Mytilus edulis: one gene and its partners. The protein of the gene in region 1 interacts with the protein of each later gene in a biochemical or structural test. Links are inferred from orthologs where the notes say so. Each region holds a gene or a part of one and is shown in the gene's direction. Other genes may lie near its edges.

The links.
Region 2: the proteins of cullin-3-A-like (region 1) and NEDD8-conjugating enzyme Ubc12 form a complex in vitro, tested with the Homo sapiens proteins (2 studies listed by BioGRID, with this or other methods). The link is inferred for Mytilus edulis from reciprocal best matches to the Homo sapiens genes CUL3 and UBE2M.
Region 3: the proteins of cullin-3-A-like (region 1) and kelch-like protein 20 form a complex in vitro, tested with the Homo sapiens proteins (2 studies listed by BioGRID and IntAct). The link is inferred for Mytilus edulis from reciprocal best matches to the Homo sapiens genes CUL3 and KLHL20.
Region 4: the proteins of cullin-3-A-like (region 1) and DCN1-like protein 3 form a complex in vitro, tested with the Homo sapiens proteins (3 studies listed by BioGRID, with this or other methods). The link is inferred for Mytilus edulis from reciprocal best matches to the Homo sapiens genes CUL3 and DCUN1D3.

Annotation. Positions count from the first base shown.
Region 1 is NC_092346.1:79,309,254-79,317,019, forward strand, and holds the start of cullin-3-A-like, read left to right. Parts: upstream 1-4,753; 5' UTR 4,754-4,964; coding exon 4,965-5,018; intron 5,019-5,937; coding exon 5,938-6,135; intron 6,136-6,426; coding exon 6,427-6,540; intron 6,541-7,116; coding exon 7,117-7,277; intron 7,278-7,766. UniProt on the Homo sapiens protein: Core component of multiple cullin-RING-based BCR (BTB-CUL3-RBX1) E3 ubiquitin-protein ligase complexes which mediate the ubiquitination and subsequent proteasomal degradation of target proteins.
Region 2 is NC_092350.1:42,402,007-42,408,961, forward strand, and holds the start of NEDD8-conjugating enzyme Ubc12, read left to right. Parts: upstream 1-3,952; 5' UTR 3,953-4,019; coding exon 4,020-4,128; intron 4,129-6,955.
Region 3 is NC_092345.1:63,003,244-63,010,879, forward strand, and holds the start of kelch-like protein 20, read left to right. Parts: upstream 1-4,619; 5' UTR 4,620-4,934; intron 4,935-6,659; 5' UTR 6,660-6,713; coding exon 6,714-7,223; intron 7,224-7,594; coding exon 7,595-7,636. UniProt on the Homo sapiens protein: Substrate-specific adapter of a BCR (BTB-CUL3-RBX1) E3 ubiquitin-protein ligase complex involved in interferon response and anterograde Golgi to endosome transport.
Region 4 is NC_092352.1:76,468,853-76,476,595, forward strand, and holds the start of DCN1-like protein 3, read left to right. Parts: upstream 1-4,726; 5' UTR 4,727-4,902; intron 4,903-7,743. UniProt on the Homo sapiens protein: Contributes to the neddylation of all cullins by transferring NEDD8 from N-terminally acetylated NEDD8-conjugating E2s enzyme to different cullin C-terminal domain-RBX complexes and may play a role in the cell cycle progression by regulating the SCF ubiquitin E3 ligase complex, after UV damage.

The DNA of each region.
Region 1 (7,766 bases):
GATATACATTTATACATTCGAAAAAAAGGTATTTCAACATAGACGACAGCAATGATCTGTTTACTGCTACATATACCTCCATGTACTTTTTAGATATTTTTTTTTTCTCTTTTATAAATCTAATACCCCGTTCGCATTTTATTTTAATCCCGAAGATGTCACCAATAAATGTTAAATTATTTAAAACGTTAATGTTGCTCTACCCTAGACCATATATTGCCTTCATTGTACTAGTATTCGACACAATTTTTTGAATATTTCAATTACAATTCGTTTAAACTTTGTATTTGATTCGAGTTACACTGACGAGTCTTATTTAGATGTGACGTCCGTCTGATGATCAAAAATAAGCCAGGTATATTTGATGCGTTTTTATTCGAGCATAATTATTTTATCTGAGTTAAACGTAGACAGTGTGGATCTTTTAAAAAGGGGGCTAGTCCGATTTAAATTACCCCTTACTTTAGGCGATCTCATTTTGATTTATTTGCATTCTCAGTGTGACAGCAAAGTCACGCGTTACAATAGTTGACAAGTGACACTTCCTGCAGCATATCTAAATTAGAGGATGAAGCATCCTTAAGTGTAGTAGGCAACAACAAAACAGAAATGTTGATATTGAAACAAGCTATTATCATGCAAAGAATGCATTCAAATCCATTCAACCAGCAGACATTTTGTTTGTAGTTTTTATTTTGGTTGATGACAAAAACCTAAAAAAGGTGTAATGTTAACCAATGATAACTGTCTCGGGTTTAAAGCGGGCAGATTGTATATTGTGAACATTGTATACATGTAGATACATTGAAGTGAATGTTTTGTAGAGACTGCTTTTATAAATGCTATGTTGTTTGGTCTTCGTATCAAAAGTGCTACTTTGCTATAGACATATATTTTTTATGATTTTTTGAATATTAATGACAAGGTTATGTATGTGGCTTTCCATCACAAAGCAATTCCAATATTGAATTCTCCCCCTCTCCATTACATCAGTTTATACTTCTGACTTCTGCGTTTATTTCAATCAAGTAAAAATATAAACATATTTGTAAGAGGTAATTGATTAATTTTCCATTTTACCACTACTGATTTCAATTTTGCGCAACTTGATCCGATGAATCTGGAATCATTTTTCACTTGTAACACCAAATATTTCCTGTTGTGACTGAAATAATTGTGGAAAAACTTAAAATTCACGTAATATTTTTCAACGAATTTCTTCAAATCTGCTGCTTACTAATCTTAATCACTGATTTGCGCTCAATCATTTAAAAAGTTGTTAATAATAATTGTGTTTTTATAATTAATTGTATTTTTAATATTATTCAATGCATATTGTTATATTGATAGGTTAGTATTTAATATTTATTCCGTCCTGTTACATTGTTATCATATTGTTATTTCACAGACCTTTTCTTAACGTTCCTGTGTAGTTAGTGTGCCAGTCATGTAGGGTACGAAACGGAATACAAATGCTCGATAAGCCTTGTAATTCCTACCGGTTTCTGATCCTCGATCAAATCATTGTTATATTCCAAAACCGTGTAATGACATTCTTCTTTTATATATATGGCAAACATGTTTTTTGCGCAGTAAAATTGTATTGACTGGTATATAATTAATTTGTGGGTGTGCTTTGGTTTTAACGTGAACAATGTTTCATCAGAATATGATTTTAGGAAGTGAAGAAGCAATAATACGCCGGATTTTACACTGTCATTTTCAGTTCCAAAATTCACAATTTTCAAACACAATATTTACTGTTGAGCGTGGCCATACAAAGTATCGCATATATAATAGATGGTTATATTCCGTATAAATCTCAGTAGTGTACAAACAATCAACAACAACAAAAAAGAAAAAAAAATGACAACCATAATTCAAGTCCATTATTTTTTTTTCTGTCTTTCAAAGTTGACAGCCATGAACAATTGTACAAGTGAAGAAAAAAAAACCAGTTAACTTTAATTCAAATTCAAAAGAAATCTTACACTTCTTTTAATGTTATTTTCTGCAATGACTGACAAGTTCATTTATCTGAATAACTAGTAGTTACAAGTAATTATTTTTGTAAACCATTACTTCTTATCATAGATTGTTATTTTTATAATACATGTATATATGTGCTGTCTTACATTCTTACCTAATAAATAACTGTGATACTTTTAATTAAGTTTATTGTTGTTCTTGCGATGAATAGAATTATGTAAGTTTCGAATAAGAAAAGAATCTGTATGTCACTGGGGATGTTAAAAGCGTTTTATTTTTCTATGAAAAGAATGCATGGCTATTTTATATAGGTATACGTCAATGAGACAATAACCCAACAACAGAAAAAAAACTACAAAAGACATCCAGGCAACAAAGTCCGAATTCAGACAGATAACTCCACCTTTTGACATATAGCTCTTTAACGGTTTCGGTACTTATACATCTTCGGATGTCAAATGTTTGGCTTTGAGCCTTCCTGATGAAGGTAAATCCAGAAAAGCTATTCGGACGCAAGAAATTAATAACGTGATGTTTTCAAATGTTTTTATTCCAATCGTTAGAAAGAATGGTGTCGTATGTTAGCGGTCAAATCAGACAACCTACCCCAAATTAAAAATAACAAAAAGTTTTACGGAATACAACATACATCAATGCAGAAATTGCACTTCACCTAAATGTCTTATATCCCCTGTGATAGTGATGTAACAGTACAGCATGATAAGAGCAAACTATAAAAAACTATTGAAAACAAAATCATTCCATTGACGAACATATGCAAAAACAATGACACAGATAACGTATCTTGTAATTCATAAGGTGAATTGTCATTGCATGTGAATTTCGATATAAACAATCATGGTATATACATGCATGAGATACACTTGAAATGGTAAAGGAGACTTGAGTATTTGCCCCCAGCATAAGACCGATTGATTTTAGTTATGTAACCAATTTGCCTCAATCTGTACAATTTCATCAATAAATTGTGTCTTGATATGGCATCAAATGAATCAATGAAGTAAATAAACATTGTCTTTTAGATAGCTCTTTATATAGTAAATCGCATTGATACAATGCTCAACTCGATAGAAATATAAACTGCGCATCATTGATATTATCATTACTATCATATCAATAGCCATGTGTATTTTAATTCGACGTAAAGATACTGTCGCGAAATTGCTTACAAAACTGATTCCACGATAGTTGAAGGGATCGGATGAGGGACCTGGAACAGTACTGCAATTGTTTAAGATTGTGGAAATGTCCAGACCTGCATGTTGAACATTTCCTCCATCCACAGTTGCAGAATATCATTCCATTCAAGAATAGTTCGTTAAATGGTCCGTTTCTACTATGACTTTTAAGAAGTTTTGTTAAGAAAAAAACCCTCTTCGGAATGCCATTAATCTTTAGAAATAAATCGATCAAGTTGGTCATACGGTGTAAAGGAAAACGTATCTGAACTATTTCTTAAATGTGTCAGAATTTTTGGGTCGCTTAGAACTACTGTAACAGCTTATAGAATGTTTTATTTTGTTGTTTCTGTGCAATGCTCTATCATATATATCACTTAACTCTTGGCGCTTATACCTCCGTTTTAAGTTATTTTCATTCCATTGACACTTTTAAAAAAAATAATGAATTGTAACTTTTTCATCAAAGGAGGGGTATTTTTTTTACTCCTATTAAACAATTAATCAAGATCAAATTATTGAACTTCCTATCCATGAAGAACTATGCATTTCCTCTAAACACGGTAGCAAAATATCATAGCATTCAATGAATATGTCATTAAATGTTAAAAATGTTCTGTTTGCACTATCATCGGACTGTTAAGAATGTTGGTCGAAAATAAAATAAACCCAAAAACTTGTATGTGTAAAATACTAAGCATATTCCACAGATATTTTACCCGATTTTTATTACAGTACTAAAAGTTGTCAAATTTTGTTAAAAAACTTAAGTCGTGAACAAATAAAAAGAGCACATAGGACCATGATATGCAATTCAAAACCACAAAAAAAAAAACTTGAAGACATTACCATTACCGAAAAAAAAAGAAGAAAATTTGATAACGCTACAAAACTTAAATTGTGCAACATTAACCTCACCAAAATCTTGTAAAATCGGTATCATGATTTCGTAAGGATAAGCATTTTCCTGTTCCAATAGCTGCACCTGTCGTGCTTCTCATAACAAGAACAAACGGTGATAAGTTGAATTTGGTAAAAAGACATTTACTTCAAGTGTTTTTTTTTTATTGAGTTAATATTTGAAAATATTTGGAAAAAAGATATATGAAATTCTCAAGAAATAAAAATAATAATATTAAATATAATTTTTCAATCATGATTGACAGAGGTATTCTCAAAATCAGTACATTAGCTTGAACTAGTTTTAAAGTTTTTCATGTTCCAAAAAACTACATTTCTACTCATACCATGTTAGAATTTAGAATTTAGATTGAATTGGATTGTAAAGTAGACTAGAAAACTTGCTGCTCGCAATTTCAGATGAATAGGGAAACCAGTCTGGTTAGATGATACAATAGCAGTGAGCAGACAACCAGTCTTAATACTTTATTGACGATGACCCACTTAACCCCAAATCAATGTGCATATTTTTAAATCGTTGCTACATTGAACTACAAACCGTATTTTTCAAGAAAACAATTTATTTCTAAATGTTGAAATATTAAAGAAAGTCTTTGATTTCGACCAACACTCACGAATCATAATAATTGTTTAGATCTATTTTTGTTTGCGGATAAATGACTAAATGAAGATCTGTTGTTTGGCTTTCATCGAGAATGGTTTAAAAGTCAACGGCGAAAATGCCTGAGGAACACATTCAGAGACTCAAAACTCTTTTGACTTAGTCTTCTAAGAATTTCACAAATCAGCTTTTATCATTTCAGTTTATTTGGTTACCCATTCCATTCTTTATTTTATAGTTAATATATTTGGAAAATGAGTCGACAGCAGCCTCGCAAAGACACAAAAATGCGAATCAGAGCATTTCCAGTAAGTATAAGACCACATAGAAAGTCCCACTCATATATCATTAAACCAAAATTACGTATTTTTTTATTGCAAATCCTTGTAGACACTTATTTTCGAGAAAAAAATAATATTTGGATCATGAAATAAAATGGCGGACGGAAGTGGCATAATGAATGTAAATAAAGACGTCTGCTGCATGGGAAACTCTATGAGGACTTCTAGTAGGCCTATAGTTAGAATGTTCAATCGACAATTAAATACAACCAATTAAGATATATTAAACTGTCATCAACTGTAATTGTACACATTTTATGAGTAAGACAGTTGTGTGCCAAGCTGTCCCACAGTCCTGCCATATTCTGGACTTTCTCTTTGCTAGTGAATTTTGAGGGGAACTTTGAGACCCATTTTTATTATGACATATCAATTAGATCTTGTAAACATTTTTAACTTTTAATGAAAATTTCATACCAAAATTGGATAAGTTTAAAAATTAAGCACAATACTGTTATTGAACTTATCGATAGTACATCATTTCTAGAATCATGTCTTTCTCGTACGCCTTTATGTATCATAACCAGATTGATAGCGAGTCTGTATCCTGATCTATTAAAAGTTTTCAGCACTTTCAGAATCATCATTCTGTAGGGTAGTATAATGGAAATAATTTATGTTCTGTAAGTACGTAATTTTAATGTTCCTGCCACTGAGGGAGGGTGACCATCTCACAAGTTTTTAATTTTCAAAATATTTTGTGCATTATAAAACTTTTTCACACGTTGGCTCAACATGTGTTGGAAATTACTGTACCTACATTTTGGTAATGTGGTGATGGAAGTCCCATGACAGATTTAACTAACTACTGCATCCCTGAAGTGACATATTTTTTATGTAATCAATATTCAATTTTAAGTTTAAATATTTCCTTTATTCTTTCTAGATGACAATGGATGAAAAATATGTTAACAATATTTGGACATTGCTGAAAAATGCCATTCAGGAAATCCAGAAAAAAAATAACAGTGGACTTAGTTTTGAGGAGTTGTATAGAAATGCCTATACCATGGTATTGCATAAACATGGAGAAAAATTATACACTGGTTTGCGTGATGTTGTCACAGATCATTTAGTTGACAAGGCAAGTAATACTAATATTTGGTTAGGAGAAATATATGTCTTATTCAAGCTGGAATACTGGACCATTATTCTAGCAAGTTTTCATAACAGTGTGTTCATAAAAGATATCTTTCCCAAAATTAAAAGATAACATTTTGTGAAATGAGTGCTAGTATAAAACTTAAAATCCAATTCCCCCTGGCTTTTTTCATGAAAATTTGGAAATTGATGATGTTAGATGGTGTTTTTATTAAATTTATCATTGACAGTAAGTAAACAAAGTTATTAAATTATAATCTGTCTATATTAACAGATAAGAGAAGATGTTCTTTCAGCATTGATCAATAACTTTCTGCAAACGTTAAACAGTGCATGGAATGACCACCAAACATCAATGGTTATGATAAGAGACATACTGATGTATATGGTAGGTATATATAATTATTATATCCCAATCACTGTCAGAGTGTATTTTAATGAAAGACTGCAAACAACTTGTTTTCCATTTCTCTATCGTTAATAACTCCACTTGTGTATTAAGCATGGATTAGCTGTTTGTTCATGCTTCATAGTTTTGAAGTTGACTGTAACCTTATTTCAGATCTGCAACACAGTCACTTCCTGTTTGACAATATGCTAAATTTTTATCATACACACTGGTCATGGAATATCTTGTTACATTTTACTCAGACTCTTTATTCTCAATTTTATCTAAAAGATAATGTGTTATTTCGATTGGAATTTCAAAATGATGTCAGTGAGTTCATCAGTGTAAGCTATTTTAAGATAAGCAGAGCAGTCATGTCTTGTTTGATGATTATTTGAATTATCATTCTACCAGCTCAGCATGGATTTTTCTTTATGATAAATAACCAGTGGGTGTATACTTTTAAGACATTGCAAATAACTTTTTACATGAATAAAAAAATCATGGCAGATATTGTCATGACATCATCGAAAGTTTTATAATTTTCCTATAAATATCAATTTATTTTGGGTTTAGGACAGAGTGTATGTTCAACAAAATAATGTAGACAATGTGTACAATCTTGGACTGATGATATTTAGAGAGAAGGTTGTAAGACATCCAATGATAAGGGACCATCTCCGCAGTACATTGTTAGAAATGGTAGCAAAAGAAAGAAGAGGAGAGGTGGTCGACAGGTAAATTAGTGAAAATATAGTCACCAGCAAAGATAATGACACAAATCCATTAGTTAAAAACTCTTTATATACAATTAAAGACATCATACTCCCTCCTTAAAGGGAAGGCAGATGCATTTGAATTGAAGTTTGTAATGTTCTTAGTTCTCAAAATGACATATCTTTAAAACAAGTAACTATCAGCCATTTTTTAATCATGAAAAATATAGTCATTTGTTCTTGAACTTTGTTGATGTGGACTCAGTTGTCTGTTGAGTTCCAGAATTGTTTAATTTATGGTTTTACTGAAAGTTAGCCACATGTAATCTGTCCATGGACAAAGTTATAATTATCAACCTGATTTTGTTCAACTATGTTGCATGTTACATGTACATGTATTTGAGAAGTTACAAGGACTGTTATGTTTTTAGAATAGTTTTTTTATGAAGAAATCCTCATAGAATAGGGTCTCACTCGAAAAATTGGGACGGTAAGTCCCTATTGGATATT
Region 2 (6,955 bases), on another chromosome or scaffold:
ACAAATCCTTTATGTAACATGAAGGATTTGCATACATGGCATACAAAGTATGAAGCATCCAGGTATTTTACCTTCATACTGATGCTGCTACAAGATAGTAATCCCCCTGTCTCTGATTCTGTGGCAATTAAGATTAATTGATTGATTGTTGGTATTTTAACACCACTTTTAAGCGCCACTTTCGGACTCATTTGTGGCGTATAGGTGGAGAAAGCTGGAGTGCCTGAAGAAAACCACAGACCATCAAACAGAAAATCGACAATCCTCAATTAATGTTGGAATGATGTTACATGTAATGGTAAATTTTAATACATGATGGTAAAATGTACAATTTCTTTTAAACAATAAAAAATTGACTGATTTCAAGAAATCCAGTTAATTTTTTACCACAAAAATAAGGTAAGACCAAAAAAAAATATATGTCTGTTTAAGGTTACATCATCAAAATAAATAGGGTAGGTAGGTCGGTATTTCCATTTTATTATTTTTTATCATTTTATTTTTTACGCCATGATTTTGAGTTGTGTGGTCCGTCTTAAGGTGGTTTGAGTTGTCCATGGGCTCAGTTAACCTGTATTTTTAATGATTGAATTATTTCCTTTTGTTATTGTATGTATTGGTTGGAGAAAAAAAGGCGGCAAAGTTTTTATTTCATTACACGAGTTGCGAGTTTCCTTAACTTAAAACAGCTGTCATATTCAGAATTTCACGATTGTGAACATTGGGATGTACCAGGCAATTGATTAAATTTATTGGCAATCCTTACTTTGCTTTTGACACAAGTTCTATTAATTTTTCACTTTACGACGGAAATAAAATGGCTTAGGGTCGGTCGGGTAACTGTAAACAGAGTGAATTTTTTTTTTTGCCTAATGTATGTATGTACTCGAGATTCCGCCAATTTAGACGCACCCCTTGATTGACTGCAAGGGTACAGCGGATCCATGTAAATTCCCTAAGGATTAATGGAGATGTGTCCTTTACAATATTATCCCACCACCAGAACAATCCCCACCCAACACCGCCCAAGGGAGCGTGTAGGACACCGGGAAGTCTGTTATTATGGTGAAGGAAGCTGAAGTACTCGAAGAGAACCACCGGGCCACTCAGTGGAAACAGACAAACCAGAGAGATATCAGAAGATTGATCTCCAGGTCAAAGTAGGGGACAACTTTGACCAACCGAGGCCCCCAAAGTACCCATTCTAGTTTAAACTCCGGTGTGGGTACCAGAGATGTGTGTGAGAGGGTGAAAATTACCCTTCTGATGTACTGATATTTTTAGCACCCCGAGTGAGAATTGAACTCGGGACCTTCAGCACTGTAGCCATCGGTCTTAACCACTAGACCACGAACTCACACATGAGATTTTACCAAATCCTTGGTATGTTCGAATTTAGAATACTGCTCTTCAGTTTGGTCACCTCACACCCAAAAACAAAAAAACAACATTGAAAAAGTACAAAGAAGGGCAGCATGCTACGTCACCAACAGGTACCCCAACACCAGTAGTGTAACTTCCATGATTGACCATCTTCAATGGAAGTCATTTGAAACTCGCAGACACATCAAGCGAGTAACTATGCTGTACAAAATCTCACACCATCTCATTGCAGTAGATCCAAACTTTTACCTTTTACCACAGCCAGTCAATAACACCACATTCACTAATTCATTACAATACATGTACCAAACATTTAGCACAAGAACAGATTACTTGAAGTACAGCTTTTTTCCATTCACAGTTGTACTTTAGAACTCACTTCCAGGGGTAGAAATAAGAAAAGACCATTGACTTGCAAGTCAATATGTATATTAACTTGCCCTTGTATCTGTTAACTTGCCCGACTAACGAGCATAGCTCGGCGCACTTACGGCGAGGGGTCTGGGGTAAATGGTGCCAAATCCTGCATTCTAGACCTCTCCTGGCAGATGATTTCAAGTTTCTATACACCCTTTTTTAAACAAAAACTTTTACTTTTACAAAAAAAAGTGACAAAAAAATTTCAGATGTACATGTAGAAACTGACCCAATTGTCAAATTTCCTGTAAAAAATATGCTTCATTCTAAACAATGCAATTATAATTTATTTTACATTTTACAGCAATACTATAAGAGCTTGTTTCTACATTGAATGAATTTGAAACCTTTAATTTTGTAAAGAGAGTCAGCCTGTTGAAGACCTTGTGGTGACCTCTGAATGTTTGCTGCTGTTGTTGTTCCTAGTGAATTAGGTGCATCTGGTCTTTAATACTCTTTATGTAACTAACTGACAAATTCAAATAACAATAGGTAATTGTTCACTGCAGAAATGAGCACATTTAGTATGCTCAGCTATAAAGGTAAAGAATTTAAGATAGAAGTGGATGAGAATATTTTAATTTAATTATGTATGTCTGACTTTTCGTGAGCATGTATATTGTCCTTTTTATAATTTGTACATCCTATTACAAAACTGCCACTACTTCCAAACTGAACGCAAACCTCACATGTCATCCCCTTTTCTGTGTCTTTCAGCCATTTAAATTCATCCAGCCATTTTGTTAAAAATTTACGTTTTCTTTTTCCCTCTTCATATTTTTTTTGTTGCTCAACCCTGTTGACGTTGGATTCTTTAAGTTTTTTTAAAGGGGGGACATAATTTACTAAAAAGTTTTCCATTTGTTTCTTTCTACTTTCATTTTTAAATCAACTCAAAAGTCGTTTGCAAAACGCGTTCTGATTGGATCATTGTATCGACTTCCTTTCACAATTAGTAGCGGAAATCCCCGAGCAGGTGCGACTGAACATTCTAAAACGACGGCGCTCATTGGCTTACGCATAGGAATTGACCAATAGAATTATTCGGGACAAACTACGATGTTTACGATTTTCCTGGCATGCGCATATGAAATAAATAAAGAGGGCGAAAATAGTAATACAATAATACACAGTTGTACATCGTACAAAATTACGTCTGACATAGTTATACAAATATTTTATTGGCACAAATTCATTAACAATAAATGGTTAAGACCTATTGCATATATTATTATATTAATTGACATGATAGAATGAAACGCAAACACAAAATTTCAACTTGCCCGGCGGACAACTATGTGATGAGATTCACTTGCCCGCTGCAGATTTTACTTGCCTCGGGCAAATGGGATAGCGCTTATTTCGAACCCTGCACTTCCACAAAACGTTATCAGTGTTAACTCCCTGGATCAGTTTAAAATACTGATCCAGAGACTGGCAGAGTCAGTATATTTAGATATCCATGAACCTGTTTGTAAATATGTAAATGTGTTAATTTGTTTTGTTTTTGCACAAAATTATTTTTTAATTATTGCATTCATTAGTTATTATATTTTATTAAGTGCATGTCTGTTTACAATTCGCCGACGTATAGTCATCAATGTGCTGATGGATCGTCGTAAATGTAGATGTAGTTTGAAATGTCTAAGGAATCTCGATATTTAGGATATTCTGACATCAATTTGAAGCTAACGGTAGCCAAAAATAACCTTTGACGCTGGAGTGTAGAGTCAATTCCTACCTCAATCAAACTTTACTCACTAAATTATTTACTGTTATAGTGTTACCAGGTTAAAATAACAGAAATTTACATGTTCATAAAACTTGATCGGCTAATCTTTGAAAGGTAAAGATTACTTATTTTAAAACATTGTGGTCTGATTAATTGTTTTATTTAACAAAACATGAATGACATTTGCGTCGTAATTCTCTAGCAAGGAAATAGTAGTAACAAAATAGGTTTACCTTTCGCTGCCAAGGAAGGAATGAAGTTTACCGGAAGTCGGTGTAAAAGTCAAAATTTAGAATATAATTTGTCTTCGGATATTTTTTATTTTTTATTTGACAAATAGGAAAAATGTACGAATTATTTTTAATTTGAAGCCTGTCAGTATTTTTTTTATCTTTCGCCAATAAGATAATCATACGAAATTTTAAGCGGAAGTGCTTTATTACGCACTGGGTACTTTCACAATAAAAAAAAAAAACAGAAGACCAAAATGATTAAGTTGTTTTCACTAAAACAGGCGAAAAAAGACGGTACCGATGGTGGAGAAAAATCAGGAACACAGAAAAAAGCATCAGCTGCACAGTTGAGAATACAGAAAGGTGAAATCAGAAATAGTGTCTGAGAAATTCAACGAATTTATCACATTCCATTGATTTGAGTAATGCCATAAAGAGGGAATTAAAGTCATTTTGTACCCTTAACCTTTCGTACTCCCATTTCTTACCCTGACAGAAACCACTTAGTACCCTGACCATTTTGGTATTTCATGGAATAATATGAGGCAGGCATAACCTGTGAATGGGGACGAAGTCTGTATGTATTATTTTTTTTTTTTACCTCAAACATGTTAATAAAGGAAACTGAAATACCGTAACGTTCCCGATTTCGGTTCTGTGGTTAGGGATTTAGCTGTGACGTTGTTTAAGTTATGACGTCATATTCAATGTAAACAAAAGAAACGCTTCCATCAGGTAACGTTTTTTTCAAATCAAACTGTATTCTGTATTCTGTAGGTGTCGCTGTTGACACTGGATTGTCTCCCTTGTAATTATTTAAATCTCGCGTGTATTAATATTTCACTCTGGTAAACAACTCACTTGTACTTTAAAATACATACTATTAGGTGGCAACTGTGCTTAACATATTTTTTCCAAAAATTAAAAAATATATCTACATTTATTAATTAACATGAAAATTTAAAGGAAAAGAAAGAAAAAAAAAATAAAAAAAATCTAACATTACATTAATCAAACCGGCGCGACTCGCAAATAAAGTCACCCAACAATCGCATTAGTGTTTCATTAGAGACGGAGACATTGTCGTTTTTTTCTATTGACAATAAAAGTTCCAAATCAATATGTAACGATCCTGTGTTGAAGTATATCTCATGTATAAGTTTCTGTCTTGCCTCTTCATAATTTTCACAAAATAGTAAATAATGTTCCACAGTTTCTAATTGACCGCATTCACACTTTGGGTCTATATTTTGATTGATTTTGTTTTGATAATTTTTTAGGTAGTATCCGGATCTTAAATTTCTAATAATTTTTGCTGTTTTGTGATCTGGATAATTAAATGTCGATTTATTGCTGACAGTCTGATGAAAGTTATAATAAAATCTTCCTGTATCACTATTATCCCATCTATGTTGCCACTTTTTATTTACTAAAATTCTTGCTGCTGTTTTAATATCTTGTTTAGTTACTGTAATATGGGCTTCTTTCTGAATTTGATTTGCCTCTTTAGCTGCCTCTTTAGCTAGTTTATCAGCTATTTCATTTCCTCTAACATCTGCATGTCCTGGGGTCCAATCAAAATTAATTCTTATTCCATGGTGTTTTTGGATACATTTAATAAGGGAAATAATTTCATGTGAAGTGGATCTGTTATTTTCAATTTTCCAATTTAATGTTAAGATTCCAATTGCTGTTTGACTGTCCGAAAATATTTTTACTTCTTCAATTAATGTTTTGTTTTCAATTCTGCTTACATAATCTAATACTAATTTAAAATCAATAATAATAAAATCAAACAATTATTAAAAATGAAATTGTATTGAGTTCCAATCTTATATTTTACTAGACTGATACATATAATTTTCTTTTCAAAGTCTCATGCAAACAAGACAGATTTCTGCGCAAAGCGGGGAAAACCGGAACAGGAACTAGATCTGAAAAAAAAAGTTAACGATTTTGAGTTCATTAGTAGAATGAAAAATTCGGGAAATTTTCCCGATTTTTTTTTTTTTTTTTTTTTAATAATTGATTTTTCTACCGTAATTGGGGACTTCGTCCCCATATTAACATTTCTCTAATTTTTGTGCTATTTTGATCGGTGTGAGAAAAATATTTTTCCTCACTAGTGAGATATCCGTTTTCGGTAAATGATAAGTCGAAATGTGATTATGATGTCAAAATGTTTTGTTTTCTTCTGAATTTTTCTATTATGACGTCAGGAAAAAAAGTGACCATGCATGATGACGTTGCATATGAAGACATCTCCAAAACATCAACAAGAATTAAACAGATGTACAAACAAGGTTCAAATGTCCAAGAAATGAGTGACACGTTCAAGAAAGAACTATTCCAAAGCATGGACAAACATATACCAGCCAAAGAATCCGCTCAAAAAACAGCCTTCCCTGGATAACACTCAAAATAAGGAAAATGTTCAAAAAGAAAAGCTGATTATACCAACATTGCAACAAGCTAAAAGAACAAAAAAATGGTCAAATTACAAAAAGAAATCAAAAGCCAAATAAGAAAAGCTGAATGGTCATATATCAACAACACCATACTAAAGGGCCTAGAATCAAACAACACCAAGCCATTCCAGAAATACAACAAATCCAGAAAAAATGACAACATTTGAGCATGTTGAGTAGCCCCATCAAAAAACAAAGGGAAACTCATCAGCGACAGTAAAGGGAAAGCTGAAATACTAATACAGCTATTCAAATCAGTTTTCACAATAGATAAAGCCACAACAATACCAGACACAACAAAGCATATTAAGGAAACCATACCAAACCTCATAATAACAGAAAAGGGACTAGAAAAACTGCTAAAAGATGTCAACCCATCAAAAGCTTCTGTACCGGATGGATTCTCAAACAGAATTTTGAAAGAATGTGCAAGTCAAATTACACCAGAACTGACAGCAATCTTCCAAAAATCTATAGACACTGCAACCCTTCCTCAAGACTGGCTAAACGCAAACATACATGTATCATGCGTTTAAAAAAAAAGGCGATAAACACGCTGCTGAAAATTACAGACCTGTATCGTTGACATCAGTACCATGTAAGATCCTGGAACATATAATATGCAGGCATATAATGAAACATCTAGAAAAGCATACTGTGTTAACATCTTTAAACCATGGTTTTAGATCAGGTTACTTATGCGAAACCCAAGTACTTCAAAC
Region 3 (7,636 bases), on another chromosome or scaffold:
GCATGCATGTTGTATCTGTTTGTAGTAGTGAACATACAGAACAATTACACCCGTATCAGAGGTCCGTATGATTATTCTGTCGCTCTTTCCTATTTCTGTTAACTTTATGTCAAATTATAAGGCATTAACTATCATACGAGTATTGGCCTTTGTTGAGTGCTAACCAAATTACGACAGTCATTTACAATTAACATTATTGTTTAAAATAACTTCTACAATTTCTGATTTACAAACGTTCCGGCTAAGTATAGCCCACTATAAGGTAGAAGGAGACTTGTCATAGTTTTGAGAAAGAAAAAGTATCAAAGAAATTATGGAGAGCCTGTTGATTTTCTTTAACAGAATTTTTTTTTCCAGTCAGGAATCCTTCTCACTTCAATAATCTGATACAACTTGTTGGAAGCTGTAGTCTTTGTGCGGCTTTCCTTTTCAGCAGACAACTTTATTGAGTGTTTCATATCGTAGCGGTAAAAAATGTCTGCTAGTGTGTGCGCTAGAGAAAAGCATAGGGTTACATTTTTATAATAGTCAGCTGCAAGGTCACCAATCCTTTAATTTTGTTATCATCAATACATTTTTAAAAAGCAATGCGATACAACCTCTCAGACTGGTCTAAGTTGTGAGTGATGGGCCAATCGGAGGTAGGGAAAGTGCAAAAAGACATCAGAGTCGAATTGGTTCACCAAATCATGAATTTCAACAAAAAACCCATACGCTTCAACATATTGCTGGCAGATTCCATCATTAAGTCTTTCAACAGAACTTAAAAAGCAACGTTTACTCTTTATAGTAAAGGAAGTGATTCAGTACTTCTTCTCTTTCAAACGATAAACTTTTCAAAGTTAAAACACATGTGCTGCCTTTTTTATATGGTCATTTTTATAAATTTCCTGTTACAAAACTTTAAATTATTCGAAAAACTAAGGATTTTCCTATCCCAGGAAGAGATTACTTAAGCCGTATTTGGCACAACTTTTTGGAATTTTGGTTGTCAATGCTCTTCATCTTTGCACTTGTTTGGCTTTATAACTATTTTGATCTGAGCATCACTGATGATTCTTATGTAGACAAAACGCGCGTCTAGCGTAATGAGTTATAATCCTTTGATAACAATTGACTACTAGGACCTAATCGTAAAGGACTTCCTAATTCAAACATTTTCCAAATTCAGACTTGGTTCTTAATTTTTGAAATAATTTAAAAAAAAAATAAACATACCAAGTAAACATACAAAAATAAGAAAGCTTTTTAAAAATACATAAAAACACGATAACCAACCCGAAATGGGACCATGAACTAACAAAAACGATCGAATTGAACAAATTTTAGCAATGAAAAATCTTTCTGATACAAAAAATCATTTACGTCTGGCGTATATACTAAATTTAGGTATCTATGATGAGTTTATTTATAGATGAAAATAACAGTATCGGTCCGGTTCAATATTTTTGTACAAGTCGAATTTTAAGAGGAAAACTTGTATCTTCATTTTATAGTGTATATATTGTTTCAATGTACAAGTCAAAATATGCTTCTGAGATAAAGGATTTTGAAACTTTTGTTTAATAAAAGTTTGAAATATCAAATAAATGTTGATTATTTTACATTTTGCGAAAAAATAAATGATGAAAATGAATTGAAACTTACTCTATTATTTAAATGGAAATACTCGTAGTGTTCAATATCTACAAAAACTCTTCAATAACGGATTAATTTTGCTAAACTTTTTTTGTAATTGTTAAAATAAGATGTAACAACAATATATATAATAACAAGAAGCATATCAAGAATGCACTTTAAGAATGTAGGCCTAAAATCTTATAAAAGTAAGTTTTTCTTTAAAATAAGGGAATGAACTTCAAAGCCCATTTTACAAAAATTGCACCATACGATTTTTTGACGACAAGTCAAAATGTGAAGTGTAACCTTTGCACTACCAATACTGTGATTTATAGCCGTATAGTCTGAATGACGATTAAACTCCTTAAATAAGCGACTTTTCCTTACTTGGTCACCGTACTACATACTGGAAAAGGATCCCTGCTTTTTGAAATATTTATTGATCATAACCAGAGACATCTAATACATATTATATGTCTCAGGCTGTCATAACTTGTGTTTACTTTTCACTTTATTAATTTTTGTGTCTCAAAACGATCCAACGTCCAGATTAACCATTTACCGCAAGACGATAGTTAATTCAAAATATGACAACATCAGAGTTTCATGAAATGGAAAGTTCTGAGAAACCATCTTTAGCCTAGAGCATGTTAAAATGCAAGCGAATATCGAACACATATTGAGGAATGCTTTATAAGATCTTATAACGCAAATTAAATATTCTGTATAATCATATGATGCACTTTACTTTTAAGTATTGCAAAAATATTGAATAGTTGTATTCATAACTTAACTATAAGTATCTTTTTCTGGAAATTAAACTTAAGTGTCACGAATTTATTAAAAACACTGATTATTGTCACTAAAATTTCAGTTTTATAATGGGATAAGAAAGGGTATTTGCCAGGGCCGTAACTAGCCTCTTTTAATAGTGAGGAAAAATATATTTGCCGAGTGGAGCGAGGCGAAAAATTTTGGGCGAGGCGGCCCCAGAAGCTCTGAGAAAAATAACGCAAAATCGTGCATTCTGAGCTTTTCCCAGACTCTTTCTTGCATTGAAACGGCTTAATTAATTTTTAGACATTTTTTTCGACAATCAGGTCCCAAAGCAAAGATTCATTGTAATTTCAGACTTTTAGGTATTAGAGACAACATTAAAAGACCAATATGTAGGATAAAGCAAAAATCGTTATTCTCATCTATAATACTAAAATTACGAGGTCCAATTTGTCAGCCGTCATCGGGTAAAAACGACATATCAAAGAATTCAACTCTATATATAACTAATATAGGACAATGGTGTAGATTAAAAATTACACCACTCCAGACCCTTTTGTTTTCCACATAATTAATATTGCCAATAATTAACAAGTTCCGGGTCTAATCCGATACCGATACCAATAGTATATTCACCTGTTAGCTATTACCTTATCTGTACATTCCGCATTTGACAGGCGCACCACCAAACGGTGTATTTAGGATTTTGCTATATACACGGGTCATAATCAAAGGGCTGACACTACTAAATTCAATCATTGTCAAATTGTTCCCTATTGTAGCTTTATTCTGCAATCAGCAAGACTTTCTAAGATAACTAATATAGGACAATGCTGTTGATTAAAAAAATACCCCATTCCTGGATAGCCTGGACCTTTTGTTTTCCAAATAATTAATATTTCCAATAATTGATAAGTTCCAGGTCGACGGGTTCAAACAGAAAGATTTGAAAGCAGAGAAAACTGTGTATCTTATAATCGACATGACTTTATCAGATGACAATACCAATTACTAAAATAAGGCTTAGGCATAGTTATATACTTTAATTCAGTCACGGACCCGCGATATCACGGGTGTGTACTTGTAATTATTAATACCGTATCTGTCTGTCTGTTCTTGACTTGTATTGTGATTAGACTTGGGTGAGTTTTATTATGACTATAGATTTAAATATAGTGACATTGCAGTATCATACTTTAAGAACTAGTACTGCTTAAGTCCACTCTAGGGACCATCTTCACCTTGTTTTACGGTGTTGATGATTCTTTAAATGTATTGTTGAAGACCTTACGGCAACTATCAAGATGAAAGGCAGGAACACAAACTTTGACCATTGATCATTTGTATTGCTTCTATACATTGGCTTTGTGTGCGATTATGTCCCCATACTCCTTTATTATCTGTTAAAGGGTCTCAGCACGACTTAATGCAAATTTAACCTTTCAATGTAAAAGGTCATATATGGCAAAACCTTGTTTTTTTTCTTCAAATTATTTGATACTGGGAAATATGTGACCTTACTTTAATTCAAACCATGTCAGCTATCTAGTTTTATTTACAATAAAACAAACTGTTTTTATTCTTTGATATCAATTTCAATTATCCATGCAGAAAGGACAGGTATGATTTTTTTGTGTCCACTGAGTAGCATCGCATGTTCTTAAATATATTTCTCGCACAATTCTGGACATCGGTGGACATGCAACATTGCAAAACCACGTTTACAAATGAAAGTCAACACTCAGACTATAGTCATAAAGTAGGACAATAAATGAACAAAAGTCAAACCTGGAACACAAAAGTACAAACAATAGGCCATCAACTCTGAAAACTAAAAGGAAATAGAAACATGGATAACGAAAAACATCCAGGGGATACACCAGAGAGTGAAGAGAACTTGCTTCTTGCAAGACACTTTCCGTGAAAACAATTTGATATGAAAACAACCTTTTTTTTACATGAGGCATTTGTCTCATTTGCCTCAGTCAATGTAGTTACGGCCCTGAATTTGCAATTCCTTGTTGGGCATAGTAGTACTATTGCCAATGTTTTATTAGAAATACACCATACTAAGGAACTATATACTAACTATACGTGAACTCTGAGACTACGATAACAGTAGTCTCAGGTGAACTATACTATACAAATGGTGATGCATTGACCATACCGATATGAAATCCGGATGCTATCGAATAGACCGAAGTTGATTTATGTCATATCACGATTTCTTAACTTCCTATTTCCAAATTTGGCTCAGAAGAATGTCAACAAATGGTCACATATTTTACTTACAAAATGATTTACTTTAACTACATTTTAGACTGAGAGGTCAAATGGTTTGTTTAAGTTCAATATTTTTCGAACCCAGATGATGATTTCTACACGTCTTCTTCAAATTCATCAGTAGAATCGAGAAACCTTATTTATTTATTTGGGTCGGGATAATTTTTACAGAGGAAGTTTAAACAAATATTAATCAAAATAATATTTAAAAAGACAGGAAGATTATCAAAAACTCCAGAATAAACTTTATATTTGTAAGTTGTAATTGATAGCTCAACTGTGTTAATAGATTAATAGCTTGATGAAATCGAAACTGAATAAAAGAAGAATGGATAATGATGGAAGCAACATAAAAAATATTTTAAAAAACTTTGAACATAAATATTATGAATATTGATGATTAGATCAGTTTACTCACTTGGCTATGGACATAGAATGCATGGGTACATCAGAGATATATAGAGATGTCTTACTCTATGTACACAACATAGTCTTCCCCCATTTGACACATGATGATTTTGCAGACTAGATATCATATGGGCAGAGTTATATTTTCTAACTTATTCTTACAAATCCTAATTTTTATGGTATCTTTTATTTGTCATTTATAATTAATAAATATGAAATATTTTATTAAAGAAAGCTCAATTATGAACATAATCATTAATAGCATAGATACAACTAAGAATAACATTTTAAGATATTCTATATTGATCTAATTTTAGAATGTTTTTTTTTATATGAATTGGATATTGAATGATATTCACCACGCAAATCTTTGCATGTTATTACATGTACAATAACAGTAAAATGTTGGACATACAATTGGTTTAGGTAAATAACTGTTTAATACATACATATTTTTCTCTGTCTGAACATGGAATTAAACTATTACTGTCTTTTGTTTCTGTAAATATGTGGTTTAATTGACTTTTAAAAAACCTAATGACATTCACTTTGGGCGTTGGCCTTAGTGAATATCAGTTTTTCCAATTCAATAAAAACCACATATTTACCTCATCAAAAGACAGTAATTGTATATGATTGCAATTCATTTATCTAAATAAACATATATTTACCATGTTTACAGCTACAAAATGTACATTTGTATAAAAGCAAAGTTAATGTGTTTAAACAGGTTTATGCTTTTTTGAGGAGAAATTTCTGAGGAAACAACTGTTGGTGCTGTTTTAACTGAAGGAAATTTGCTTGTTTGTCTCTATGCTGCTTATGCAGGAAAGTTTGATTTAATCTAAGGTGAAATTTTGTGCCTTTTAAAATTTACTGTGACAAAATTTAGAAAGACAGTATTTCCTGTCTTTGCATATCTTATTAATGTACAAATGTACATGTGTATGTTATTAAATATTGGAATAAAAAAGTTAAATGATGTTTGATTTGATGAAAGGATTTTTTTGTGCTGTACTTATTTACAGTTCAGCAAACTACATATAAACCTAACTGTGCAGATACCAATTGTACATTGTATAAGAAGCAAAGTCAGTGTTGTGCAATATAAAGCAATCTAACGTTTATTACCTACCTCAATTTGAAATATGTTTACAAAAGACAATGCTATTTGGCTCATATATTTCAAATTGTATGGACACAGGTCACACAGCTGATGTTGTTTTTAAGGTTGTATATACTTGTATATATATATGTTACATCTGGTGAATACGTGATCTGTTTATTAGGCAATCTCAATGGCAGTGAGCAGTGTTTACATGTAAGAACATCTGTTGTTTGACCAGCTGGAGTCAAATGTGTTTGTTAAAATCTATTTTTTTACTTCATGGTCTTTATGAAAAATGTTGTTTGTGCTGTATTTAGACCCCTCTAGCTACTAAAAAAAAATTGTTTTGCATACACATAAAGAAATTGCAGTTTTTAATCAAACACAATCATAGGTTTAAGCATTGTTTTCAATTACGACTTGTTTGATATTGTATTTTACTTTTGCAACATTTTCATTTCAGAAAGGAATGCCAAACAATAATTTTCTGTAAAGTAGAACTAGCATCATCTATCAGATGAACAACAAAATGGAGAGAGCTGCTTCTCCTGCCAGACTTGCCTACACATCAGATAAACATCCAAGACATACATTAGAATCAATTAATGTCTTAAGGAAACACAGAGAACTATGTGATGTTGTCCTTATTGTTGGTCAAAGGAAAATATTTGCTCATCGTGTGATACTCTCTGCGTGCAGTCCATATTTTCATGCCATGTTTACAGGTGAACTTGCTGAGAGTAGACAGACAGAAGTGACAATTAGAGACATTGATGAGGCAGCTATGGAACTCCTCATTGACTTTTGTTACACATCCAACATAACAGTGGAAGAAAGTAATGTACAAACACTATTGCCAGCAGCTTGTTTATTACAGCTTGCTGAAATACAAGATGTTTGTTGTGAATTTCTTAAGAGACAATTAGATCCATCAAATTGTCTTGGTATAAGAGCATTTGCTGATACACATGCATGTAGAGATTTGTTACGGATAGCGGATAAATTTACCCAACATAATTTTCAAGAGGTAAAGTACTACTCTGTATTAAAACAAATTTTCTAACCAACAGGACTATGTGATCAATTCAATTCAAAATCCTTTATAAATATCCTGAAAACATCAGGATTAAACTACATGTAGCATTAAATATATAAGTAATCCTCCACTGTTCTAATATGAAGGCAACTTGTGACGATACATGTAGTTATAGATGATAAAGGGCTGGTCTCAAATTTTTAGTGTTAAGAGCCGACATAACCAAAACATGTATGTTTTTTTTTCATGGACTAATACATTGTAGTTTTAACTCTAGATATCAAGTTTTTATTTGATTAAAAATACCTCATATAAATGTATATGTACATATAATTTTGTGATGTATATCTGTTTCATTACAGGTAATGGAAAGTGAAGAATTCATGCTTTTACCAGTGAACCAG
Region 4 (7,743 bases), on another chromosome or scaffold:
AGAAACTATATTACATAAAATGTAAAATAATTGAAAGAATTTAGTGATACTACACGATGCATTTATACAATATTATAAAGATTTTTATTGATTCGTAATAACAATTGATAAACTTGAACATTATGTCGGCTTAAATCCAAATCGGAATTGTGATCTTTCATATTTAAAATTCGAACTTTGAAAGTACTTTTTATTGTATTTTCACATATAGTTTTAAAACCAATAAGTTTTAAAACTGTTGTCCATGTCAGGCGTAACGATTCGGTTTCGTAAATGGTTGAAGACTTGTGATGTCCTCTCAATATCTTTTGGTTAGTTTTGTAGTTGGGTTACTGTATCATGGACCTATAACCCCACATCTCCTTTTATTCATCATAAATTGGTTCAAAATTTAAAATAAAGAAAAACTAACAAATTTATAGTTTTCTAGAAACGAAAATGTAAAAACGAGAATTACTTTTTTGCAACTTTTGAGTAGGAGTCTTTAGCTCTTTGACTAGTGATGCCGCTCACGATATCCCCGGCAGAGCCAAGCATGGACATACGGAGAAAAGACTCTATGTGAAACAGAAGCAACGCTTTGTATTGTTGTGTATACTTATATCGAAAGCTAGTTTAAAATAGCAGTGACTTTTAAATTCTTTTGCAAAAAAAACTTACGAAAAGTCACATGACATGTTTAATTTACGCTTTGTCGATTACACCCCCTAAATTTGGTTAAACAGGCTTTTTTTCTTCTCAGGCAGTTAATATATAGTGTTACTTCGTTCAATAACAGGCGCTATCAATCAATTTTTAGTATTAGAGTGAAACACATATATATATTTATTTCGATCTAAACCATGACAAACTTGACCAAAACCATGACGAATTTCTAGATTCTTAACCGAACCATGTCAATCGCTTAACCAAACCATAGCAATTCCGATATCTTGCTTATTCTGCGTTAATTTCGTGAAACAACAATTCCAATATAGATCGTTTGACCTCCAATACAGATTCAAGCATTTTATTTGCTTTTTATCTGCTCGTGTGAATAGAACTGAGGCAATAGTTTAGGGAAGTAACATAAATTAATCATGTCAAACTTATCCAAACTATGACAAAATAACTGTACTAAACGCTCCTCGATATGACGACCTTACTACCCGTGACTTAGCTTCCTCTTATATCTAGATACAGAAAAATAACATTCTATTTATCCAGCACTCTGCAAGAAATGCACTCTATTGCTGGTGCTAGTAAAATAGCCATTTCTAGAGTTATAGACTATTTTACCGACTTGAATTAATTTAGGATATTTTAATCAGGGATGGCAAAACAGCCATGCACTGTCATATTTATTTTATTTGCTCTTCAAAAACGGCAATTTTTATATACAGTTAAACATGTACTTAAAGACATTTTGTAAAAACGTTTCATTTTTTGACCTAGAGAAGATGTGCGCGCAAGTTGCAAACTGGAGTGGAGATCAGACTTGTAAAAGCAATGATTGTGCTAATTTAGAACTATTGGATTTGAATTAGTTTTAACATACTGTGATACAATACTATTATTTTATGATCTATATTATATCAGAGACATAAACGAGGGGCCTGATTTGGGGGGGGGGGGGTCTCATATCACGATTCACGAGTTGATGTTTTTGTCAATCACGATTCACAGAAACTAAATTTCCATGATCACGGATCACGAAAATATATACGAGATAATATCTGAAAAAGTCTAATTTTTGGCAATAAGAAAAAATCAAAAAAAAAGTCTTTAGACCCGGTATTATAATAGCATAAACCGAAGAGCACACATTGGGGATCTAGGAACTGTTGTCTGTAATTCAAACAATTGTTAAATGTGGTAACAATTGCAATTTCAAAAATGGTACAAAATAATTCCAGTTCTTTCCTGTTTCCAAAATGAATCAATTTTAAAAAGTTTCTAATGAGAATAAGGAATAATTTTAAGACACTATTTGTGGTTTACTAGTATATCCTGTAATAGTTTAGTAAATGCCAATTATTGATTTTAACATTTGTAATACAAAAGATTAAGAAATATACTAAAATATAGTCAGAGATGTCGGTAACATGAAAGAATTTTGAGTAACAGGACAACGGTAACAGGACAGAAAGGATTTTTTTCTCAAAAAAGAAAAATACATTATTTCAGATTGGACACCATTGGAAGATAACAGCAAACAATAGCATTTATCCTTTGAAACTGTATTTGACAGATGAAAAATCTGCCTAGGTAATGAAAAATTCTAAAATAAATTCCTTTCTGTTACTATCTACTATACTATAGAATTGCACAATGTTCTCTGCTGTTATCAAAAGCAAAAAAACTATTTTTTTTCATTCAATATATTGTATATTACTATGAAATTTATTTAATATGGTGATGATAACTTATATTAAATGAAATGGTTGACATATAGTAGATTAATATTTTGATTCATCAGTGATATTGTCTTGAACATCCTTCCTGTTACTGATTATGGTTATGCTGTTTCTTTTTATTAGGTAACATGACAGAATGTAACAGAAAGGAATTACGCAGTCCTTTTTGTTCATTTACTCGAATTGTGTAGAAGTTTACTTTCATCTACATATCAATTTGATAAGATACTAGTATAAAACACATGTACTGTTATAGTGCTGACAATGAAATATTCTCAGAAGGTACACAAAAAGGCTGTAACAGGAGAGAACAACAAAATTATTTTTCTCCAATTCTTATCTTTGGGGAGTTCAGTTTTTTTAAACTGGCTGCTATTCACCTAAACAAATGGATTCATACATTCAGGAAATGATGCTCTTCACATTACATTACAAGAAATAAATTTTTGGTCTTTCAAACGTGTCCACAGGTGGAAAACCCCCAGCGGTAACAGGAGGGAAAGTACCCCTGGGGACAACATTCAAAAGACCCTTAAAAATGCAAAATTTTCTTACATGCTTTAGTTATAACAAAATAAGACCAGTAATGGAGAAGTATATTATATAATCTATCAGATTTGTGAAAATTGGAAAGCTGCTTACTTTTAAATTAAGATATTCTTTGAATGATTCAATTTTCAGAAAATAACAGGGGACAACATGATTTTTTTTGGGGGGAGGGGGGTTGACCATTTATATTATAATATTTTATTAGATGAAATATTAAAAAGAATGTTTAATTGGTTGCAGTTGGTGCATTATTTACTCGAGTTAATCAGTACTGAAACTTAAAATTTTCCAAAAAGATGCCTGAATAAAAAAATAATTGCTGGTGAAAGGCGGGACATGGAAATTATAGACTTTTTCAGATATTGTCTCATATAAAAAAAAATATCTGTTGAAAAACGGATCACGATAGCGAAAATGCGCCGATCACAAACAACGAAAATAACCAAAATGTTAAGGCAAGATATTCTTTGGGTTCATCGGACAATAAATGTCTTTTCATACCACGTCCGAGAACAAATTTTATATGAAGAAACATTTCAATATTCCGGTACAGTTAACGTTCTTTGGCAGTGGCGGATCCAGAAATTTTCATAAGTGGGGGCCCACTGACTGACCTAAGAGGGGGCCCGCTCCAGTCACACTTCAGTGATGCCCTATATAAGCAACCAAATTTTTTTCCCAAAAAGGGAGGGCCCAGGCCCCCTGGGCCCCCCCTCTAAATCCGCCTCTGTTTGGAATAGTATTCCTGTTTAAATAAAAAAGATAGAAACGATAGAACAGTTAAAAAAAAAAAGTTTTTGTAATTTCTTGTTTCTAAACTAAAAATGTAATTATCAAATGAAATTTACCTAATATATAAAAGTCCATAAAGGTATCTTGTACATCTGACATTAACAACATATGTTCATGAACCTATTCCGTATGTTTTTCGCCTTTTGTTTTGCATAAAAATACTGTATGTAAATGTATATTATATTATTGCATATTTTGAATTGTTCAAAGGGCATCAGTGGAGATTAATATTGTACTAAGTAACTGATTTTACATCACGGGGGGGGGGGGGGGGGGGGGTAACTTCCTATTATTGGGTATACGGGGATGTGCCAAAAATATGGGTCATATAATTTTGCAAGATTTTATATAAAAATGACCCACCTTCTTAATGACATCCTATATTAAAATGCATTTACGTTTGATAACTGTATATTGATTTAGGATCATTTGGGGTATCAGTGTCATCTACATATCATATATATAACGATAACATATATGTGCACCTAACGATGTCAATTCATATATAAAAACTTAAGGGTAGCTGGTATATTTATGAATTATGAGTGATGATGAGTTAGTGCTTATATATAAGCATGGGTCATATTTTGAATATTGTATATAAGTATAGGTCATTCTTTCTTAAATATTTATATAACTATAGGTACTGAATTTCAGTGAATGTTATATTAAAATGGGTAGGTTTTTTGAGGCAAAAATGGTACACCCCTACCAAAAAAATATCGAAGTTACCCCCGTGTTTTACATGTATACATACAAACCGTGAGTATTTTTATGCAAAACAAAAGGCGACTGTTGAAAACGTAATGTCTCTGGTTCATTAATACTTTTTCAATTTCATCTGAACTTTTAAATTAGTTTTATTAAGTTATAGTAGATAGCAATTCCGATTTGAACTAGCCTACTTGATTCTAATTTGTAATATCTATCTGTCACAAAAATTAAATTTCCCCGCGGTAAAAACTAAGGAGATATGCACATATTCTAATGACGTACATCGCACATCGACAGGAAGTCCACCATTTGTTATTCTTTCTCTCTGACAATCAGCATGAAATCGACAGATTCTGGCAAAAGGAACACGGATATATATATTTGTTGTATGCAGGGATAAAGAAAATACCCAAGTGATGTCTTTCAAGACGACAAACTGCCAGAAATTTCGGTGATTCACCAAATTATACAATTCTGAAGCACAAATGCATTACCTTGTTTTTGTTTTATCGACCTATTCGCTTTGCATGTTATCGATCTCACAGTTTCTATTAAGTTGTCATAATCACGCTTTCTAACTATATAAATAATTAATGACATTAAAACTTCTTTAATCCTTCCAACCTCTGTGTTATTTAAGAAAACGGATCGAAATAAAGGTTGGGTACGTACCCATAGACATAGACAAAGAAATTAAGAATTTAAGACAAAGAACATCTCATTGGTGTAGTCCAAATAATTATGACGTCTTGAAAGGCTATTATAATTTTTTTCTTTGACGCCTTACATCGATGTAAGGCGTCAAAAAAAAAAATTATAATAGCCTTTCAAGACGTCATAATTATTTGGACTACTCATTGGTGATGATGTTGGTCTTTTATTGGACCTGTATCTTAATAAAAAAAAAAGGGGAGGGATAAATAAATAAACTTAGAAAACAGAGAAATTTATTCCTAAACATTCTAAATGAGACATGTTAGAAAAATAGATCACCTATTTTGTTTCACATGTAATTTACTGAAGTGGGTCTCGTAGGGTTCTTAGTGTGACACAGGATTGGCTGATTTTTTAAGAATGATTCGTGAAAGTCTAATAAATAAGCGTGAAATCTGGAAACAAAGCCGGGTGGTACACAGAAAATTATATGCACTATTATGGCAACGAAAAGCAGGTTAGAATTCTGACAAAACTGTAAGCAGGATCCAGGATCAGATCCCCTCCCCCTCCAATGAGTCCCCCACTGAATACAATGTGAAGCCTGTCTCAACCTTTGGAGTCCCACTAGTCAGATAGATCCCTGTCATGTCTGTACCAAACATGGATGTCCCACTACATGCACTAGACAGATAATCCCCTGTCATATTTGACCAAACTATGAAGTCCCAAGAGTCAGATGGTCCCCTGTCATGCCTGTATCAAACTTTGCAGTCCCACTATTTGAATAGTCCCCTGTCATGTCTGTACCAAACATTGATGTTTCACTAGTCAGATAGTTCCCTGTTCATGTCTAGATCTGTATCAAACTTTGAAGTCTTATAATTAGTCCGATAGTCCCCTGTCCTGGCTGTACCAAACATTGATATCTCACTAGTCTAGTCAGATGGACCCCTGTCCTGTACCAAACATAAATGTGTCGGATAGTCATGATAGTCCCCTGTCATGTCTGTACCAAACTATGAACATGATGAAGTCCCACTTACAAGTCAGATAGTTCCCCAAATTAGTCGTTTTTCTTATACGACTGCACATATTTTTTGTATAATGCTACAGTGTATGTCCATGAAATTGTACAACAAGCTTCAATACCACAAAAGGAAGGTTGGGATTGATTTCTGGGTTAAGGGCCAAAAACAAACACTTTTCTAGTTTCCAGACAATAACTTGTATTTAAGTGTATGGAACTCTCTAAATTTTTACTACAAAGTTCCATACCACATAGGGAAGGCTGGGATTGAGTTTGGGGGTAATTGCTCCAAGAAGGAGGGGGTTCAAAAAGTTTTGGGGGTTCCAGTTTCTCAAAGGGGTTCATATTTTTGTTTTTCAGAATTTTTTAAATTTCAAATTTTTGAAAAGTTCTGTGAAAAAATCTTCAATTGCAAAGTATTATCCTATAGATTTTTATACGACAGCAAACATTTTTGTGGTTGTATATTGGTATCACGTTGTCATCGTCGTCAGCGTTGTCCGAAGAGGGATGGTTTCCGGAAAATAACTTATTTTAACACAATGTTTATAACCACAAAAGGAAGCTTGGGATTGATTTTTGGGGTTATGGTCCCTAACGTTTAGGAATTAGGGGCCTAAAACAAGCATTTATCTAGTGTCAGTACAAAAAGTTGTGTATAAGTATTTCAATTGTTTTGAAATTGTACCACAATATTTATGACATATTTATATCATAAGTGAAGGTTAGGATATATATATTTTGTGAGTTATGGGGCAGTTTAGGAATAAAGGGCCAACAAGGGACCAAAAACAAGCATTTTTGTAGTTTCAAGACAATAAATTGGAGTTATCGTTCTTTGTCCAGAATGGTTGTTAAATCACCTATGCGCTAAAACCAATGCTTTATGAAATCTTCTTTGAAAATTGGAGTTATCTTTCTTTGTCCAGAATAGAGGTTGAATCAACTTAAATCAATACAATATACAATGCAATATTCACTTAACTACCAACTGATAAATTGAAGCAATCTTTACCATTCAGTGATTACAAGCACTTTGATTATACCATTTTAGGGTTATGCCCCTTTAAAAATGGAAAAATTGAAGAATTTTTAGTTTCTGTTCTCTCAACTTAAGTTTGTCTCCACTTAATTTAATGAAATCTGTATATATAATGCTTATTACCTCTAAACCCAGTTTAAGTTCAATTTTTGGCAGCTTCACTTTACAGTTCTTGAGTTATGTCCCTTTATAACGTTATATGCTAGCGGGGGCATCATCTGTGTCCCTTTGAACACATTCTTCATTTATTTTTTTAGAAGTTACTAATACTATTAATTAATATTAATTTTAACCGTGACTAATTGACATTTTTATATTTTGATATTTATGATGTATTTAAAGTCATAATAAATGAGTGACTGGTGAAAAATAATGTTATTCCAATTCTTGAACCAATCCATACAAACATCATAAACTTAGTCTTCTGTGCACGATTTTATCATTTTTTTTGCATAAATTTCATACAATCATCAAATTTTTTTTCAATCAGTCAATGTTGTTGTGAAAATATGGCAGGTAATTAAAGTTCTTGTTTTGAAGCCGAAGTTTGTCACGATTTTATCATT